Linked DNA regions of Caenorhabditis elegans. The protein of the gene in region 1 interacts with the protein of each later gene in a pairwise test. Each region holds a gene or a part of one and is shown on either strand. Other genes may lie near its edges.

Region 1 (6,428 bases):
TGCCTGCCTATGTGCCTACCTACATGCCTACATCTTAACATCTATTGCGCATCTGTTTCAAAATAAATTTTACCTGTGGAATGAAAACTTCTTTTCCCATTTCCAACGCTTTTTGAATAATCGAATCAGTTTGTATTTCTCCCGATGTACTAACATAAACTGACAATCTCTTGCTCTCTTGAAACCATTTCGATTCAATTATTTTTTCAAAAACCGCCTCTGTTTGACGTTGAGTTTCTTCTTTCGAAATTTTTCCGAGCAATGTCTTCATAAACTGCCTGAGCTCTGATTTTACCTCTTTTATAGCACTCATCTGAAAATGTTGGTCAAAAATTTGTTTTCAAGAGATTCAGAAAACTGTTAGTGGCCTGTAGTTAATGGCTCGTTATTCAAATTAAGTTAAATACACAGTAATAGGCATAAATTACAAAATTTATTATGCACATGGAAATGTTTTGCCTTTCAATATGGTAAAATGCACGTAAGAATGATAAAGCTTGAATATGATTAAAACTTTGAAATAAAGCTTTTGATATCGTCAGGGATCGGTGGAATTTCTGGTTTCTCCTCGGGGTTCGTGAGTTTCACATTGAGAAGGCGAACTCGTAGCTCCATTTTCAGCATTCGTTCAACCATTGCATCGGTTTCACTGAAAATATTTCAATTGGTATTTTCGGGGCTTCCTATTCTTCAGGTTACTGTAACTACAGTAACCAATGTCTAGATACCTTTTAACTGCCTTGCTCCCAATCAATTCAGCAAGACCTTCAAGCCATATAACAGATTGAGTTTCATCGGATGTCAATGCCATTAAAACTTCGCCTTCTTTCATATCATTTGTTGTTTTTAATTGTACACGAATCCCTCTTAACATTTGTGTAGATGGAGAAGAAGTGAATCGAGATGAGCTTGCTTTTCTATCAATCTCATCATTATTTGTTACATCAGCAATATCTTTGATCCAAACTGAAAATAAATTAATTTATTATTTGAGAACTAATTCAATATTCCCCCAACCTTGCCGAATATCATCTCTCTGCACACCTTCCACATAGTTCTCACCATCACATCCAGTTATAGTGAGCATTTTCTCCGATGCATCGAGCTTCCAATGCCAGAAGGCGAGCTTTGCGAGGGATTTACTTTTCTGTGGTTTTCGAAAAACGGCGCCTAACTTCAAATAGTTTAGATGATTTATTCGAACCAATTCCTCCATTTTTGGCCGCAATTTCGATTTTAGTTGTCTGAAAATATGTATACGAATAAGTTATTGGAATTTTCAGACTTACATCACAGCTTCACTATGTAATTGAATATTTTCCTTTCCCAATTGTTCCTCTCTCCAAATTTCTTGCATTGCCCTATACGAAAAAGTCTCCAAATCCGCAGATAGTTCTTCTACATCTTGTATTTCCCGTCTTTTCAGCACATGCCGTAACTGTTCCAGTACAACACACGCAACTTTCTCCATTTCACCTCCTTTTGCCTGCATCTCACGCCATGTTCGATGGAAAAGGTGTACAATACATGCGAATACAGCTGGAAATGGAGTCTCCGTGGAAAAGAGAACTACAATCAAACGATCCAACTCATCACGACCAGGTATTACTCTGAACAATTCTGCGGCAATGTCACAGCACCTGAATTTAAAAAATCATCAGAACATCTTTACGTTTGCAAAAAAACCTCATCCACATTGGAATCAGTTGCCATTTTCCTCCTTCAATCCTCATTGTATTCTCCGAAATTAGCATTCTCAGATCTTGCGGACTTTTTTCTGCAAATTGAACCATCGAAATTGCAGCCAACCGTCCACATCGGTGTTCCCCAATTTGTGATTTCCACATTTCTCTGATCTCCTCGGAAACATCCTCACTGGATTCAATATCAAGAATTTTCTGAACTTCAGCATCAGTAGGAGGTGAAGTTTCATATGCACTAATCAGACTCCTTTGAACCTCAACAAGTTGTTCAATAGCATTCAGATTTCGAACACCACCACCACCACGTAGAAGAGAACTGTGTACAGCATTACGGAATGGAACGACTTCTAAAGATTTAATAAGTTCAAATCGTTTTTCATCATCAGGACATCTTCTTATCATTGAATTCATTAGTGAAAGTGCACAAAGAGCAATTCGTTCATCTGATTTTTCAACGTGTCGAATGAGAGTCTCTATTGGAACTTCTTCGAGAATCCAATCACGAGTTGTATCGTCACTGTAAATTATACAATAAATAGAAAAATGGTACTTCTAATTTCTTTTGTACTTTGGAGTTGTTTTGTTGATTTTTTTGGATTAAAAAAATTGGAAAAATCTATATTTTAAGTATTTTAAGCTAAACTGATAGGTTTTTTTTTGGCAAAAATGAATTTTTGGAATTTTTGTTGATGAAGTTGATTTTTATGTTTTTGTTTTGAAAAATGTATGATTGTGACTTTTTTTCGGTATTATATTTAGCAAAAAATTTTTTTTCTTGGTTTTATTTCTATGTGAAGAGGATTAAATAGTTAGTTTTTTTTTGGCTAAAATTAATTTTTTTGCAAATTTTTTTTTCTGATGGTTTGTGATTTTTTCTTCCGTTTTTTTTGTAAAATAAAAGATTGTTCGGTAGTTTTGGTGTGAAATTGTATTTTGAAATTTTTTTCTAGAAAAATGGTTTTTTTTGGGGAAAATCCGATTTTTGGATTTTTTGTTGGAATTCTTGATATTCTTTTTAAAAAGTAGTTTTTTTTTTAGAAAATAGAAAGTTTTAGTCATTCGTGTTTTTTGAAAGATTGTAATTTTTGAAAAAATGGATTATTTTCGTTTCTTGTGAAAAAAGTTTTTGGTTTTTTTTCTGGAAAAAATAAAAATTTTTTAAATAAAACTTACCCGATAACAAGCTGTTCGAGCATCTGAAGAGCAGCTAACAACGTGTTCGCTTCTTCTCGTTTCGCTTTTCCAGTTACCAATGATGCCATAGACACAACTACATCATTTGGTACTGATTTCCATGTAAAATCTCCTACAGCTAATTCCAGCATACTTGAAAGTGCACGAAGACATGTTGAAAGAAGTGTTGAGCTCATACAAACTCGATCATCACGAATTAAACTGAACAAGAGTTCAAGAGATGAGCATCGATAAAAGGCTTCAATTAGAGCGGGATCCTGAAATTTAAATGAAAAAAATATTAGGAAAATGTGGTTGTAGATTGGGGGCAAGGGTGCCGGTTTTCCATGATTTTTTTTTTGCAAATTTTCGAAAATTTTGGCTTTTTCTTCAACATAAAACAAAATTTTAGAACAAATTGAATTTTTTTTTTACATTCTAAGTTTTTTTTTTCGTTTTTTTTGTCGAAAAAGTTTCGTTTTTTCAAGTAAAACAAAAATCGAAAAACCGACAGGCCAGCTTGGAACCGGGCACTGTACTTTTGGAGTAAAATTTTCATAATGATGGATATTTTAGACTGCTGATTTTTCTGGTAAATTGAAATAAAAAATCTTACCAGAGAAAACTCATCGAGAGTTTTCACAGCATTTTCCATTTGTGAAATATTATTTCCTTCTGTCAATATTTCAGTAATCCGTTTAACATAATGATCCGGTGATGCACAAAGTGTTAATATGAAACCACTTCCTAATGAATTCAAATTATCATCAGTTATGAATCTTTTCGGTTTATCAGCCATCAATCCATACGAATCATCTTCTGATAAATTCATTGATCGAGCTGCCATTTTCACGACATCCGTCAGTTTTTGTTCCAATAAATTGATTGTTATGAATACTGTGTGAAGAGCATTTGATGGAATTACAGCTCGATGATTCCATATTGTAAATTCTTTGTCAATCACTACGGCACCCTGAAATTTGGATTCTTTTGTTTTCAAGTCAAACAATTTATTCAAAATTGAAAATTCTTTTTTTTTCCGAAGGTAACCAACCTCTCTTGAAAAATCTAGCGTAGCTCCTGAACTCCTCGGGGAGTACAGGAGCGGCTTAAATCGACAAATACTTGTGACACAGACACATAGTTGTGCTAGATTTTGTACGGCCACTATTCAAATTTCAAGTATAAGGAAGTTTTTTTAAAAATTAAATTTTATCTGCAAAAATTAAACAATTTGAATAGTTTTCGGTATTTGTTTCAAAGGAATTGTATTAATTTTTTCTAATCGAAGTACACTTATTTGTTTATTTTAAAAAATTCTATAGTTTCCAGAATATTTAATCGATTTAAAAAAATCGAAAATTTCTGTTTCAGTTTTTTGATATTTTATTTAAATATTCTGGAAAAATTTCATCTTTCAAATAATTTTTTGATGGGATTTTCTTCATTTTAAATTTACTCTGGGAATATATTTTTGATAAATCTCTAGTTTTCAGCGTATTTTTATTATTATTATTATTCAATTTTCCTTTAAAAAAAAATTTTCTCAGAACTCCCTTTACCTTGACAACGTGCTCCGGAAGTGATGTGTCAACTGGTTGTAACTCCTTTAATGGCATATGGAACGCCATCTGAGTATAGGAAGATGGCATTTTATCGATTAATGATGATCAAATGATTCTTCTCGGGGACAACACACAAGAGTGCTGTGAGAAATAGAGATAAGAAGACAGTGAGTCACATAAACACATCATCTAGAACATTAAATTCTACACAAAAAAAAAACACAACAACGACATTAAAATATGCAACAATAGGTCATTCACATGGATGGAATTCATTCTTTTTGTCACATAAATAATATAAAATATATAATAATAAAATAATCATAGTGATAGGTGAGAAAAAGTCAGGGTGTTTGTGGGGGGAATTTGGGGGCAAAAATTGGGGATCTGAGAAAAAAAGAAAAGAAAAACCATAAGAAATCGATAAAAATCCAGTAAATTATGAATCTTGAAGTTTTGTGTGTTTGTTGAGAATTGGAGAAGACACGAAAAAACAAAAAAAAAATTAGCTGCAATATTGAATGAGCGAGCAAAAAAAAGTTTTTTTTTTAATTCCAAAGGTGTGTGTGTGTGTGTGGAAAAACTGATGAAAAAGGAAATAGGAAAGAACAGAAAAAGAGTTAAATAATGCAAAATCACAAGTTTTTTCACCACGCTATATTGGTTGAGAATTGAAGACGTATATAAAATATATGGAAGAATTGGGTAAAAAGTAACTGGTGGGGGAATCCGGGGTAAAACGATTGATGATGAGGATGAAATTGAAATAATTGAAGAAGAAGAATGGAGTGGATTTTGGGTGGGTGTGGGAACGTACATCGGTTTCTTTTGCTTTTTTTCTTTGGAAAACAACACTTTGATAGGTTTAATTCGAGTGGGGGGATGCTTGGGGTACTTAAAGATATATATGCAATAATTGAATGTATTTGGAAGAGTAAAAATTCAAATCCGATTACTATTCCTGAAGGAAGAGTTTCTCCATTTCGAACTATATCGGATGTGCATCAGTGTGAGCAACTAGAAGAGGAGTAGAAAATTATCGAAAATGAATAGAAAAGAAACAAACAATAAACAAATGTGTACCTGAAGACGGGGGAGCAACCTTTCTTGAAATAGAAGAATGAATAAAATTATAAAAAAAAGAAGAGCAAAGAAAGAAAGTCGTCTTGGTGCACACACTTTGAATCATCACAGATACGGAAATGATGACGGGGAAAGTATTTTCGAGGCGCGCGGGGGAGCATGGGGACGAAGAATGTGGATAGTGGGGTGGGATAATTGAGATGGAATGGCATCTATCCGTTTAGCTTGTGCTATTTTTGTGTAGCTGGGGTCGCATTGTTGTGCTTCCTCCGACGTCTCCTGAAGCAACAGCATTTCACTTCTCCACTTGAATTGTCTCCTGCAGCTGTTCGTCCTTCCGTATTTCGACTCTCTTCAACAACTTCACCGGCATTCGAGTTAATCACCTGAAATTATAAATACATGAGTTTTATATTTTTATATTTCAAAAAAAAATTGTAAAGTGAAAAATTTTAATTAAAAAACCTTTTTAATTTAATAATTTTAGACTTTTTTCTCGAAGAACGACGATCTCTTTTTTTTTTGAAGCAGAAATTGGTTTTTCTTTTCAACAAACAAAATTTCATGAAAAATTAAAAAAAATTTTTCTAAAGTAAGCATTATTTCGATCTTTCGACTTTCTATGAAAAAACCAGAAGTTCCTTTTTTCGTTTTCGAAATTTTTTTTTTCATATTGAAACAATTTTAATAGATTTCCACTGTTTTAGTTTGAAAAAATTTGCAAAAACCTAGTCATCCAAAATACGAACCTGAGTAGATCCAAATTGAGCATGAGCAGCTGCTTGACTGACTTTCAGCTCTCCACGGTCTGAAAATTCAGCTTATTGAGGAGATTATTCAATTAAAATCAAATCTTACCAGTCCTTTTCACATCTTTCGATTCTGACGTATGAAGGGAACCAGA
Region 2 (6,736 bases), on another chromosome or scaffold:
TCGTAATTCCACATATAGAGATTGTTATCAATGACGACCCAAACTCGGCTGATTTGTGTGAAGAATCCCATGCTAAACTCGCTGTGAATATCTGAAAATTCACCAATTTTTCGCTGAAAAACCCCCCCATCGGAAACAATGCTCTCTCACTGCTCATTTGCATTTGAAGCTCTCCGGGTATTGGGATTCGCCGTGTGCTCACAAACTCCGGCGCTCCCTTCACATAAAACTTCTCGCCGAGACCGGAGACGGGCGTCGTGCCGTGTTGTGTGAGGCGATCGAAGAAATCCGATGTCTCCATCATCTGCTCGACGTGGTGTGCCACCTTGTTCGCCGCCGCTTCTGCCGAGTCGGCCGAGCCCAACTCCATAAACGAGACACTCATCTCGGAGGATGGAAAGCTGCTGAAAAAGTCGGAAAATTTTGAGTGATTTTTGATATTTTAACCTTTAAACTTGAAAATTATAGCAAAAAACTGTAAAAAACCCGGAAAACTTCCCGCAAAACGCAACTTTTCGCGCAAAATTCCGAATTCAAATTGCAATGCGGCGCGGAAAAGTGGGCGGGGTCGCGTGTTGCAAGTCCCCCGCACACCTCATCGTGTACTCCTCTCGGACAAGCGCAACAGCTGACAATTTATTTTTGCGTGCAAAAAAAGTCGTTTGTTTGCAATTTCTCACCAGTTTTCGGAGATTTTCTTGATTTTTTGCGGTTGCGCATCGTAAAATACGTATTTAAAATGTGTAAACTTTGGCTCCAGTCGACAAGAAGCTTATGAGTCATTGCCTGGGAAAATTGCTCATCAATTTCCTCATTTTTACGAATAATTGGTGTTTCAATGCGTATAAAAACAAGAAATCGGTAAATTTAGTATGAAATATATTCGAAAATAAAGGTTTTAAGCGTATTTTTCAATTTTCTTCTACTAAAAACCGAACTTTAGCCTAAAAACCTGCTTATTCTGCTCGAAATTCTCGATTTCGCCATGTTTTCCAATTTTTTAACACAGTTTTTCAAAAAAATTCTTCATTTTTCCCATAATTTAGCCGAAAAACTCAACTATTTTGCCCTCTTTTTCCCTAAAACTCGCCATTTCCTACCAAAATTTGAAAATTTTCACTGTGTCCAATCGATTTTTCTTCCTAAAAGTACCATTTTCTCCAATGTTCATTTATTTTTCAGAAATTTTCACTAGAATTACTAGATTTTCTGTGCCAAAACCACGATTTTCAGCAATTTCTTTCTTTAAAATCTTATTTTTTGCCATTTTAAGGTACTTTTCCAACGAAATTCCTGATTTTTTGATTTTTCCACGCAAGTTTTGGCCGATTTTTAACTGATTTTCAGCATTTTTTCAGCCAAAAAAACATCCATTTTTGTTCATTTCCTGAATTTTTTAAATGGAAATTCCTTGATTTTCTTGGAAAATCACGCTAATTATTATTCAATTTCCAACTTTTTCATCCAATTTTCTGCCTATATTGACTCGTTTTCCTTTAAAAAATCGAATTTTCACCCGTTTTTTCACATTTTCAGCAATGTTTAGGTTGAAAATCATATTTTTATTCATTTTAAAATATTTTTTCCCACGAAATTCTTGATTTTTTTTTTGAAGATTTTTGCGTTTTCTTCTCAAAGATGGTGATTTTTGGCCGATTTTCATAAATTTTCGCTCTCAAAAACAAGATTTTAAGCATTTTTCAGCCGAAAAAACTTTCCCCTTTTATATAATTTTTCTTGATTTTTCGTCTTTTTTTTCTGGATTTTTAGGAATTTCTCGTGATTTTTGATGATTTTCCGTCTATTTGGGTTACGTTTTCCAGAAAATTTTCCCAACTTTGACCAATTTTGCGCGCCTAAAAATTCCACGTTTCTAAACAATTTCCCGCATTTTCAGAAATGACGACAAACGGGTTCGATCCATTCGAGTGGCGTTCATTCTACTTCCCAGGAATGAGCCGTGAAGAGGCTCACAAGTTGCTCGGCGAGCCACAAGTATCGATCGGCACCTTCCTAATGCGGGATAGCTCACGCCCCGGTGAATATTCACTGACAGTACGTGAAGCCGACGAGGGAAATGCCGTTTGTCATTATTTGATTGAAAGAGGAGAACCGAAAGAAGATGGAACTGCTGCAGCTGGCGTGAAAATCGCGAATCAGTCGTTTCCAGACATTCCGGCGTTGTTGAATCATTTTAAAATGCGAGTTTTGACTGAGGCAAGCCTGCTGGCCGCCTACAAGAAGCCTATCATTGAGGTTGTCGTCGGAACATTCAAATTCACAGGGGAACGAGAGACAGATCTTCCGTTTGAGCAAGGAGAGCGGCTCGAGATTCTTTGTGAGCTTTAAAGCAGCACTTTTTTGATTAAAGGTGGACTAAACCCTGTGGGGAACTTGCTTTATTGAAATTTAAATTTGCCCATCGAAAACGTCAAAAATTAACTAAAAATCTCAATTTTTCGGCGATTTTAATTGAGAAATGGCTTGAGAAAGTGGTAAAATTTGGCAAAACTTGGTTTTTAATAGTTTTTTTTTTGCATTTGGCTTCAATTTCCCCGAATTTTCAGATTTTTTAATCGAAAAAGTGCTCTTAAAGCTCACAAAGAATCTCGAGCCGCTAAATCAGTGGATTTTTCGGGGATTTCACGAGAAAATTGACATTTCTAGTAGTTTAAATGGCATTTTCCGAACCTTTGTTCTTTCTTCTCTAAGAAGTGCTCGAGATTCCAGAAATTGATTTTTTTTCCAGAAAAAACGTTATAATTGTGAGGAAATCGACATTTTTTCTTGCATTTGGCACTATTTTCTCCGAATTTTTAGATTTTTTAAAGGCGGACCCAGTGGGGAAATTGCTTTAAAACACGCCTATGGGGCCACAATGACAGAATATCATGATTAAAAAATTCAAAAAAATTTCCCTGATTTTATATGATTTTTTGAAAATTGAAAAAAAATCTCAGTTTTCACCTAATTATTTTTGAATTTCCGCCAATTGGATTTTTTCAATGGAGCGCGCTTGCATTATTTTCATTAATTTTCAAAATTTTATTTCTTCTCATTATTGGACTGATTTTCTTCATTTTTTGGAGTTTTTCATCGGAAAATGGAAGAGAAATAAACAAGAAAAATGCAAATTGTTTGTTAAAAATTAACTGAAATTTTCTAAAACTGTGATTTCTTGAGTTCTGACAACGACAAGCCTGAAATTAGTATATTTTACAGTTTTACGCATTTTCAGTTACTTTTAAAAAATCATTTTGCATTTTTCTTGTTGTTTTCTTCGATTTTCCGATGAAAAACCACAAAAAATGAAGAAAATCAGTCCAATAATGAGAAGAAATAGAATTAATTAATGAAAATAATGCAAGCGCGCTCCAACGAACGAGTTCAATTGGCGGAAATTCAAATAGGAATTAGGTGAAAACTGAGATTTTTTCAATTTTCAAAAAATCATTTAAAATCATAAAAAAAAATTTTGAATTTTTTAATCATGATATTCTGTCATTGTGACCCCATAGGCGTGTTTTAAAGCAATTTCCCCACTGAGCGTAGTCCACCTTTAAATAATCTAAAAATACGGAGAAAATAGTGCCAAATGCAAGAAAAAATGTCGATTTCCTCACAATTATAACGTTTTTTTCTGGAAAAAAAATCAATTTCTGGAATCTCGAGCACTTCTTAGAGAAGAAAGACCAAAGGTTCGGAAAATGCCATTTAAACTACGAGAAATGAGTTTTCTCGTGAAATCCCCGAAAATCCACTGATTTAGCGGCTCGAGATTCTTTGTGAGCTTTAAGAGCACTTTTTCGATTAAAAAATCTGAAAATTCGGGGAAATTGAAGCCAAATGCAAAAAAAAAACTATTAAAAACCAAGTTTTGCCAAATTTTACCACTTTCTCAAGCCATTTCTCAATTAAAATCGCCGAAAAATCGAGATTTTTAGTTAATTTTTGACGTTTTCGATGGGCAAATTTAAATTTCCGATTGTTACCATGTTAGTGAGAAAATGAGCAATTTTCAGTAAATTTCCACCCATTTTCTCCTGTTTTTATTGGAAAATGGTAAATTTTGACTGTTTTTCAAGAAAACCAGAAACTTTTGGTAAATTTCCACATTTTTTTAATCCAAAAAGCCGCAAAAATGTTAAAAATTTACGTTTTTCAATGGAAAAATGCGATTTTCTACAAAATTCGCCTAATTTTAACCCGGTTTAGTAGAAAAATGCGAAATTCAGTGCATTATGACTATTTTCCTAATGAAAACAAGAAATTTCAGTCATTTTTACTATTTTCAACTGGAAAATGGAAAGTTTCTGCGAATTTCGACTGTTTTTCACGAAAAAACAACAAAATTCGATCAATTTTGCCATTTTTTCACGAAAAAAACTTTTATTTTATGAAAAAATTCAAAAACCCGGACTCATCGTTGTGAGACCCTGTCCACCCACCCCACTGCGCCTTTAAACTTGTGTCGATTTACGCGGTGTTTTTTTTTGGAGAAACTCTATTTTCGGACGAATTTAAACTGTTTTTAAGGCAATTTTTCACTTAAAACCGCAAAATTATCTGAAAAATAAAATTATAAACGAATTTTATAATGGAAATACGAAATTTTACCTGTAAAAACCATAAAATTTGAAAAAAAAACCGTGTTTTTTGATTTTCTCCCGTTTTTCTCAAGATTTTGTGCATTTTCCAAGTTTTTTTCGGTAATTTTCCTCGAAAATACTAGATTTTTAATAATTTTTTTTTTCCAGCAAAAACGAACCAGGATTGGTGGGAGGCGAGAAACGCGTTGGGAACCACTGGATTAGTGCCGGCAAACTATGTACAAATTCAGATGGAATTTCACAATGACAGAACCTCAAAAGGCGCCAGTCAATCGTCGATCGGAAGCAGCGGAGGTGGCGCCGAACGATTTTCGAGCGCCAGCACGAGCAGTGATAATATTGAGCTCCAGGTGTGGAAAATTGCCGGAAAAATCCACAAATTTCAGATTTTTTGCTGAAAAATTGCGTTTTTTAGTCAATTTTTGACATTTTTCGATGGGAAAATTTCGAATTTCGAGACGATTTTCCTTGTAAATTACAGAATTTTAATGGGAAAGTTGGATCTGAAATTTCTCTTTAAAAATTTGCTCAATTTTTACCGTTTTTAGTGAAAATTCGGTCATATTTTGAAATTTTCACTGAAAAAAAAATGGAAATTTCAGTCAATTTTTAACATTTCTAGTGGAAAAATCGAAAATTTCCTAATATTTCGACCATATTCCAAGAATAAACGAAGCATTTCAGGCAACTTTGACATTTTTTCACGGAAAACACCAATTTTTAGATTTTTCTATTGGAAAATGCGAAATTTCAGTCAATTTCCATCTTTCTAATGAATATTCAATGATTTTTTATTAATTCTAGTTGGAAAATGTCAAATTTCAGTGAATTTCGGCTGTTTTTGTCAAAAAAAAACGAATAATTTCGATCAATTTTGACCTTTTTACTTAAAAAAACTTTTTTTTTTTCTCAAAAAATTTAAAAATCCGGCTCATCGCTGCGAGACCCTTCCACCAACCCTACTGCGCCTTTAAACTTGTGTCGATTTACGCGGTGTTTTTTTTCGGAGAAACTCTATTTTCAGGCCGTTTTCAAGTTATTTTCCACCTAAAATCTGCAAAATTAACTGAAAAATGAAATTATTAACGATTTTTATCATGAAAAACATCTCCTAAACCGAAAAAAAAATTCAATATTTCAGCCCCGTCTGCCAGCAAAAGCCAAAGTGACGTTCGATCGTGTCCCAAACGCCTACGATCCGACCCAATTGCGTGTGAAAAAGGGGCAAACAGTGCTTGTAACTCAGAAAATGTCCAACGGAATGTACAAAGCGGAACTCGACGGCCAAATTGGCTCGGTGCCTCATACATACCTCAGATTCACCGCCGTCAGCGAATAAAATCGTTTTTTTTTTCTAAATTTTTAACCTTGAAATTTATTGATTCGCTTGCCCCTCCACCAGTTTTCCTCTAATACATTACAGCTTTACCATAGAAAAAAATCGTTTTTTTTTCCAAATTATATTTATAATGATATCATGCACAATTTTCGTTGCCTTTTCCGCCCACCGAACCCCAATTCGTGTCCATTCCATTTTGTTCACTTTTCCCTTTCAACCTGCCGGATGATTAATAAACCGTTTTAATTATGATTTTTTCGAATTTTTGTTGGAAAATGAGGTGCTATAGAGCCTCTGAGAGTACTTTTTAAGAAAAAAATGTCATAATTTTGGAGTTTTTTTCAAAGTTTTGAAAATTTACTTGAAGATTTCCAGCAAATTGCAAAAAAATCCGATTTTTCGACGTATTTTGGTGAATTTTCGGCCTTTTTTTTTCGAATTTTCTCTGAAATTGCAATAAATTCTGGTTTTTCAGGCTAAAAAACGGTCAATTTTTTCTATTTTCAACTGGAAAATGGAAAGTTTCTCTGAACTTCGACTGTTTTTCACGAAAAAACAACAAATTTTGATCAAATTTGCCATTTTTTCACGAAAAAAACTTTTATTTTATGAAAAATTCAAATACCCCGGGCCATCGTTGCGAGACCCTTTCACTCTCCATACTGCGCCTTTAAACTTGTGTCGATTTACGCGGTGTTTTTTTTTTGGAGAAACTCTGTTTTCTGTCGAATTTAAACCTTTTTCAAGCTATTTTTCACTTAAAAACGGGAAAATTAACTGAAAAATT
Region 3 (4,608 bases), on another chromosome or scaffold:
CGTACTTTATTCCACATTTCTTCGACACGACAACTAATTTGAAGAGAGGACCCATAACTTTGAATGCATTTCTCGCTTTCTCATTTGAATCTTCTGAATCCGAGATGACATAGTGATTGAGACACTTTAGAATTTTTCTGGAAACAAAGGAATTTGAATTATACGTGTAATCTATGAAAACTTACAGTGCCGCTGAAGTAAATGAAAATCGTTTCAGATACACTTCGAATATTTTTGCAGCCTGTGGGTAGTGTCGTGGCTCCTCTGAAATATTAAAATAAATAACTTTATCCAAAAAGAAATATTTGAAAAAAAAATTTATGGTCAGCTGCACCGCTAGTTTTTTTTTTGATAAAAAAATTTTATCTTAAGAAAAATTTCTCGGAAAAAATATGGCAAGAATTTCAAAATTTCATTCAAACATTTTTGGCGGAGAATTCAAATGTTCTCTGGCAATTTTTCGACGGATAATTCAATTTTGTCAGGAAACATTTCAGCGAAAAATTGTAATTTGCTTAACAAATATTTTCGCCGGAACTTTTCTCTAACTGAACAAAATGTCAGAAAGCTGTACACTTACCACAAATTCTTAAAACCGCCACGATAACATCAAAAACGACTTTCTCCGAAGTCTCACGATCATGCCAAATTTCAAAGAGTGCATCCAATAAATGTGAGAAGAATCGAATCATTTCGTGTTCCGTATCTCCAATTGGTTGAGCAAGAGCCACCAATGAAGATGTAAGGTTGACACAATTTACACGCCATCTCAACACATTCAACAAATGCTCATTTTGAGTTAACATTGAAGAACATGAATGAGTGGATATCATCACAAAACTTTTATCACTCAAACTAAAACCCTGTGAATGAGGTTTCGCGCTTCCAATTGATTCTTTGAGTGTTCTTCTGGTATCAGGTAAGTTCATATAATGTACATTTGATTCATCAAAGTGAGATCCTGGATTATCAATTTTGTAGACAGCCAAGTCATGTTCACCATCACAGAGTAGAGCACTACTTCGAATGAGTTGAACATGTGCAATTGCAAATGGTCCTTTTTCTGGTTTTGGTTTGTCATATGCTTTCTTCGAATAAAATAAGATCCGAAGGTATACATCATGAGAAGCACATGAGGGAAGAGCAATTTTTATTGGTTCCGTCCACATTGGTTTGTCAGTATGATAAACTACAATACTCTTGTAGACAGTGCTAAGTTGCGAACCAGTAACCGAAATAGTCTCAAAAACATTTTCCATAACATGTCCATTTGATTCCACGACATGAAGACGTGCCTCAATGTTACGATCAGATGATTTTCCAGATAATTCAGCCTGCATTAAAGTAATATACATCTCATTTCGACTATCTTCAATTGAAACTGCTGTTCTATCAGCTCTTCGTAGAATCGCCGCTGGACATCTACTGAACAAATGTGGGTGTCTTGCCTTGATTTGAGAAACATTTCCAGGAACTAATTGGGTACTTATCAATAGTTTTGTTTCCATATCGTTGCTTAAATTCTTCGGTATACGATTTGTAGCGTGATATGCTTTTAGAGATAATGGAAGTTCTGGTTCTCGATTCAGGAAAATTACACGTTCTTTTGCTTCGTGGCCAACACCAGCAAGAAAGATGCTTGACATTTCCATGATGTCCGAGGCGTACGCTGAAAGTAGCAGCAATAAATTTTTGTATTCCAACCAGGGTTGCGCGGCAATTACTAACCGGTAATTCTACAAAATCAGGCAGTGGGCATGTTCTTCCAATATTTTTCATTAAAATTTAGTGATATTGATAGGCGAAAATAAAAATAAAAAAACCAATTTTCGCCAAAAATTGGCGAAAATTACTGGGAGAACATGCTACACTAGCTCATTTTGTGATTTAAACTCACATTGCCTACAATAAAATGTCTTTGGTATAGTTGCTTCGTGATGTCCATGCTTTCTCATCGTAGCATTAGAAGATTCAATCGGTGATACATGAACAACTCGAGTTACCATCAAATACTTTTTCTGAATATCTTCTTTTGCAAAATCAGTGAACAGTGCTTTCAAATTTAAATCCGTGTGTTTTCCACTACCGCTGTTCCAGAGAAATGTATAACTATCTCTGAAAATAATGCAACTATTGTCTTTTTCAGAAAAATTGTGAGTTACGTGGTGAACATTTTCTTGTCCAGATCATATAGTGATATGCTTATTTCACAGGAATATTTACAATGGAGTTCGACAGATTTAATGGAGAGCAGCAATGAGAAACTATCGTTGATTGTAACATTTTCAGGTTTCTCCCGCTGAAAATTTGAAAAATATATTGCTTGTAAGAGAAAAAATAGTATACCATCAATGATCCGACCCTTCCTTTCGAAGAAATGTGTGCTTCATATGTTCTAAGAAGTGAAAGTGATTCAACGTCAAGCGGAACACCCTCTTCATTGCGAATCACTACATCTTGGCCAAGAATTGTATTTCCACGGTCTACCAGTTTTGAAACGCGCAATCGGAGTTTGCTCAACTCTTCAATTGGAATCCCACCTAAAAGCATAATTATTTTACTATATTCCTGATAAAGAAACAAAATTACCACTTTCGATTTTAGTTTTTATTATTAGTAGTTCATTAAAACTATCCATCAAGTCTTCGAATGATCCAATCCTTGTCGTTTCCACCATCAATTCTTTAATTTTGGTCCACCATTCATTAATAACTCTGGAAATTTCATCCACAACGAGATATCCGTCACTTGTCGATACGAACATGGACTTTTGAACGATTTGTACATAGGCAAGTGGAAAAATCCCACATTTTCCATTTTTCTCGTCAAATTTTCGACCATATCCCCACTCTCCGTGCTGCCCGTAAACACATATTCGATCGCCAATAAAAAGTTCTAATCGTGGAGCATCACAAGATGGAAGCGGATCCTCAAATGTGTATTGAACTGAAAAATAAGATATTTAAATAGTTGCGAAGTGAAAACAAACCGATTGCATAATAGAAACCCGTCGTTGCCATTACGAACTCATTTATCTGAAGATTTAAGCTTGAATTTTCAATTAAAACGGACAATTTAATTTAAAACTACGTTATATTAATTTAAAATATCAAATATAAATATACAAATCAAAACGGAGACAGTTTCTGTGAGAAACAAACGTAAATATCACGAGAACTGTTTATTTCTGATGAGTAACTGTTTATCCGAGAGGAGTCCACAAACCGTGGCCGAGGATTTATGCTTGTGGAACCTAGGCCATTGTTGCCGGGAGAATGAATTTGGAAGTCAATTGGCAGAATAACCGTATACGTTTTGGATTCCATTGAATTTTTAACAGTTTTAAATTTAATATTTTAATAGTTAATGTATAACAAAACCGATAAAATGCATGTTTTGTCATAAATATAATGTGAATATCTATATTTTATGGTAACTTCGTGTTATATTTTTAAATTTTTTTCTATAGAATCAGAAAAAAAATTCCAGAAAACCAATGGAAATTGATGATCTAGAATCTACATCAAATTCAGTGCATAAATCACCACCCAAAAAACGGAGACGTGTGAAGAAGAAGAAAAGAAATGAGGAAGATGAAGAGTGTAAATTGGTTTTTATAATAAAAATATTTTTTCTTCACTTTGATTTACAGACGAAGAGAACAAAAATATGGCCACTCAAATAAATCAAAAATTTGGTTCAAAGTATAAATCAAATAGAAAAGATGAGACTCCGATGTTTGAAGTGAGAAATGGAAAATCAGTTATCAAAAATTCGGGGAATCACGAAGCAACTGTCAATCGAACTTTGGATTTTCACATGACAAAGCTTTTTCAGGTACGATTAAAATGATAAATCTAATTTTTATTATTAATTTTCAGTGGGAAGAGCAGTCAGACGCCATTGAATCTTCCTATGTGTGTGCATTGTGCCACGAAAATGGAGAGAAACGAGAACTTTTTGGACCATATTATGCAACACATAATCCAATTAAATATTGGCCATCTTTCCTGGCTAAGAAACCTGTAACAACCCATCCCATTCTCTAAAATCTAAAAATTAATTAACTTTTCAGACTGCCAAAAAACCTACAAAAATCGAATTATGGTTCCATGGCTCATGTGTTTTATGGGCTCCAAATGTGCATCTTCACGGCAATCAGCTAACAAATCTGGATAATCAAATCGATATTTTCTGGTCTCAAACGTGCATAGTTTGCCGCAAAACTGGTGCCGCAATTTCTGTACAAAATAAGAAAAACACGTTCATTCATTACCCATGTGCCAAAAACAAAGGTACAGACATTCCAGACAAAATACCTCCCACTCTTATCAGTTTTTTACAGGCTATAAACTCGACGAGCACGCTCTCTTGTGCAATTCGTGAAAAATCGATTCTCATTTCTCATCAAACAAGTTTTGCTTTTCAATTATGTTTTTTTTTCATTTTTTACATTCTCATGTCCCATGTTTTACCAATTGCACACTGAAACAACGAAATAAAAGATTTCAGTTTTATAATACAAATTTAATTTTATTGAAACTCCACATTTTCGCAACACTTGAATAACGATTCTTGTTATTATTGGGATGCAGAAAATTTCCTCTT

The links. Proteins that work in one complex are often made in the same cells at the same time.
Region 2: the proteins of ced-12 (region 1) and ced-2 interact in a two-hybrid assay, tested with the Caenorhabditis elegans proteins (one study listed by BioGRID).
Region 3: the proteins of ced-12 (region 1) and ced-5 interact in a two-hybrid assay, tested with the Caenorhabditis elegans proteins (2 studies listed by BioGRID).

Annotation. Positions count from the first base shown.
Region 1 is NC_003279.8:10,222,466-10,228,893, forward strand, and holds ced-12 (Cell death abnormality protein 12), read right to left. Parts: upstream 4,545-6,428; 5' UTR 4,529-4,544; coding exon 4,439-4,528; intron 3,850-4,438; coding exon 3,493-3,849; intron 3,155-3,492; coding exon 2,877-3,154; intron 2,221-2,876; coding exon 1,687-2,220; intron 1,641-1,686; coding exon 1,290-1,640; intron 1,245-1,289; coding exon 1,018-1,244; intron 967-1,017; coding exon 729-966; intron 650-728; coding exon 508-649; downstream 1-507. Other genes in the region: Y106G6E.4 (putative 5-formyltetrahydrofolate cyclo-ligase), read right to left, coding at 74-313; csnk-1 (Casein kinase I gamma), read right to left, coding at 5,755-5,910, 6,274-6,332, 6,383-6,428. UniProt on the Caenorhabditis elegans protein: Involved in programmed apoptosis and necrosis. Required for the cell corpse engulfment process. Has roles in the formation of actin halos and distal tip cell migration.
Region 2 is NC_003282.8:1,595,421-1,602,156, forward strand, and holds ced-2 (Cell death abnormality protein 2), read left to right. Parts: upstream 1-1,897; 5' UTR 1,898-1,899; coding exon 1,900-2,338; intron 2,339-4,757; coding exon 4,758-4,960; intron 4,961-5,751; coding exon 5,752-5,949; 3' UTR 5,950-6,201; downstream 6,202-6,736. Other genes in the region: npp-8 (Nucleoporin_N domain-containing protein), read right to left, coding at 1-91, 151-385. UniProt on the Caenorhabditis elegans protein: Required for cell migration and engulfment of cell corpses but not for programmed cell death/apoptosis. Has a role in the migration of the 2 gonadal distal tip cells (DTCs).
Region 3 is NC_003282.8:10,482,537-10,487,144, reverse strand, and holds the start of ced-5 (Dedicator of cytokinesis protein 1), read right to left. Parts: upstream 3,036-4,608; 5' UTR 3,021-3,035; coding exon 2,990-3,020; intron 2,947-2,989; coding exon 2,590-2,946; intron 2,541-2,589; coding exon 2,347-2,540; intron 2,300-2,346; coding exon 2,163-2,299; intron 2,116-2,162; coding exon 1,898-2,115; intron 1,670-1,897; coding exon 581-1,669; intron 265-580; coding exon 186-264; intron 138-185; coding exon 6-137; intron 1-5. Other genes in the region: F01D4.5 (PHD-type domain-containing protein), read left to right, coding at 3,497-3,602, 3,653-3,837, 3,882-4,025, 4,076-4,295, 4,336-4,352.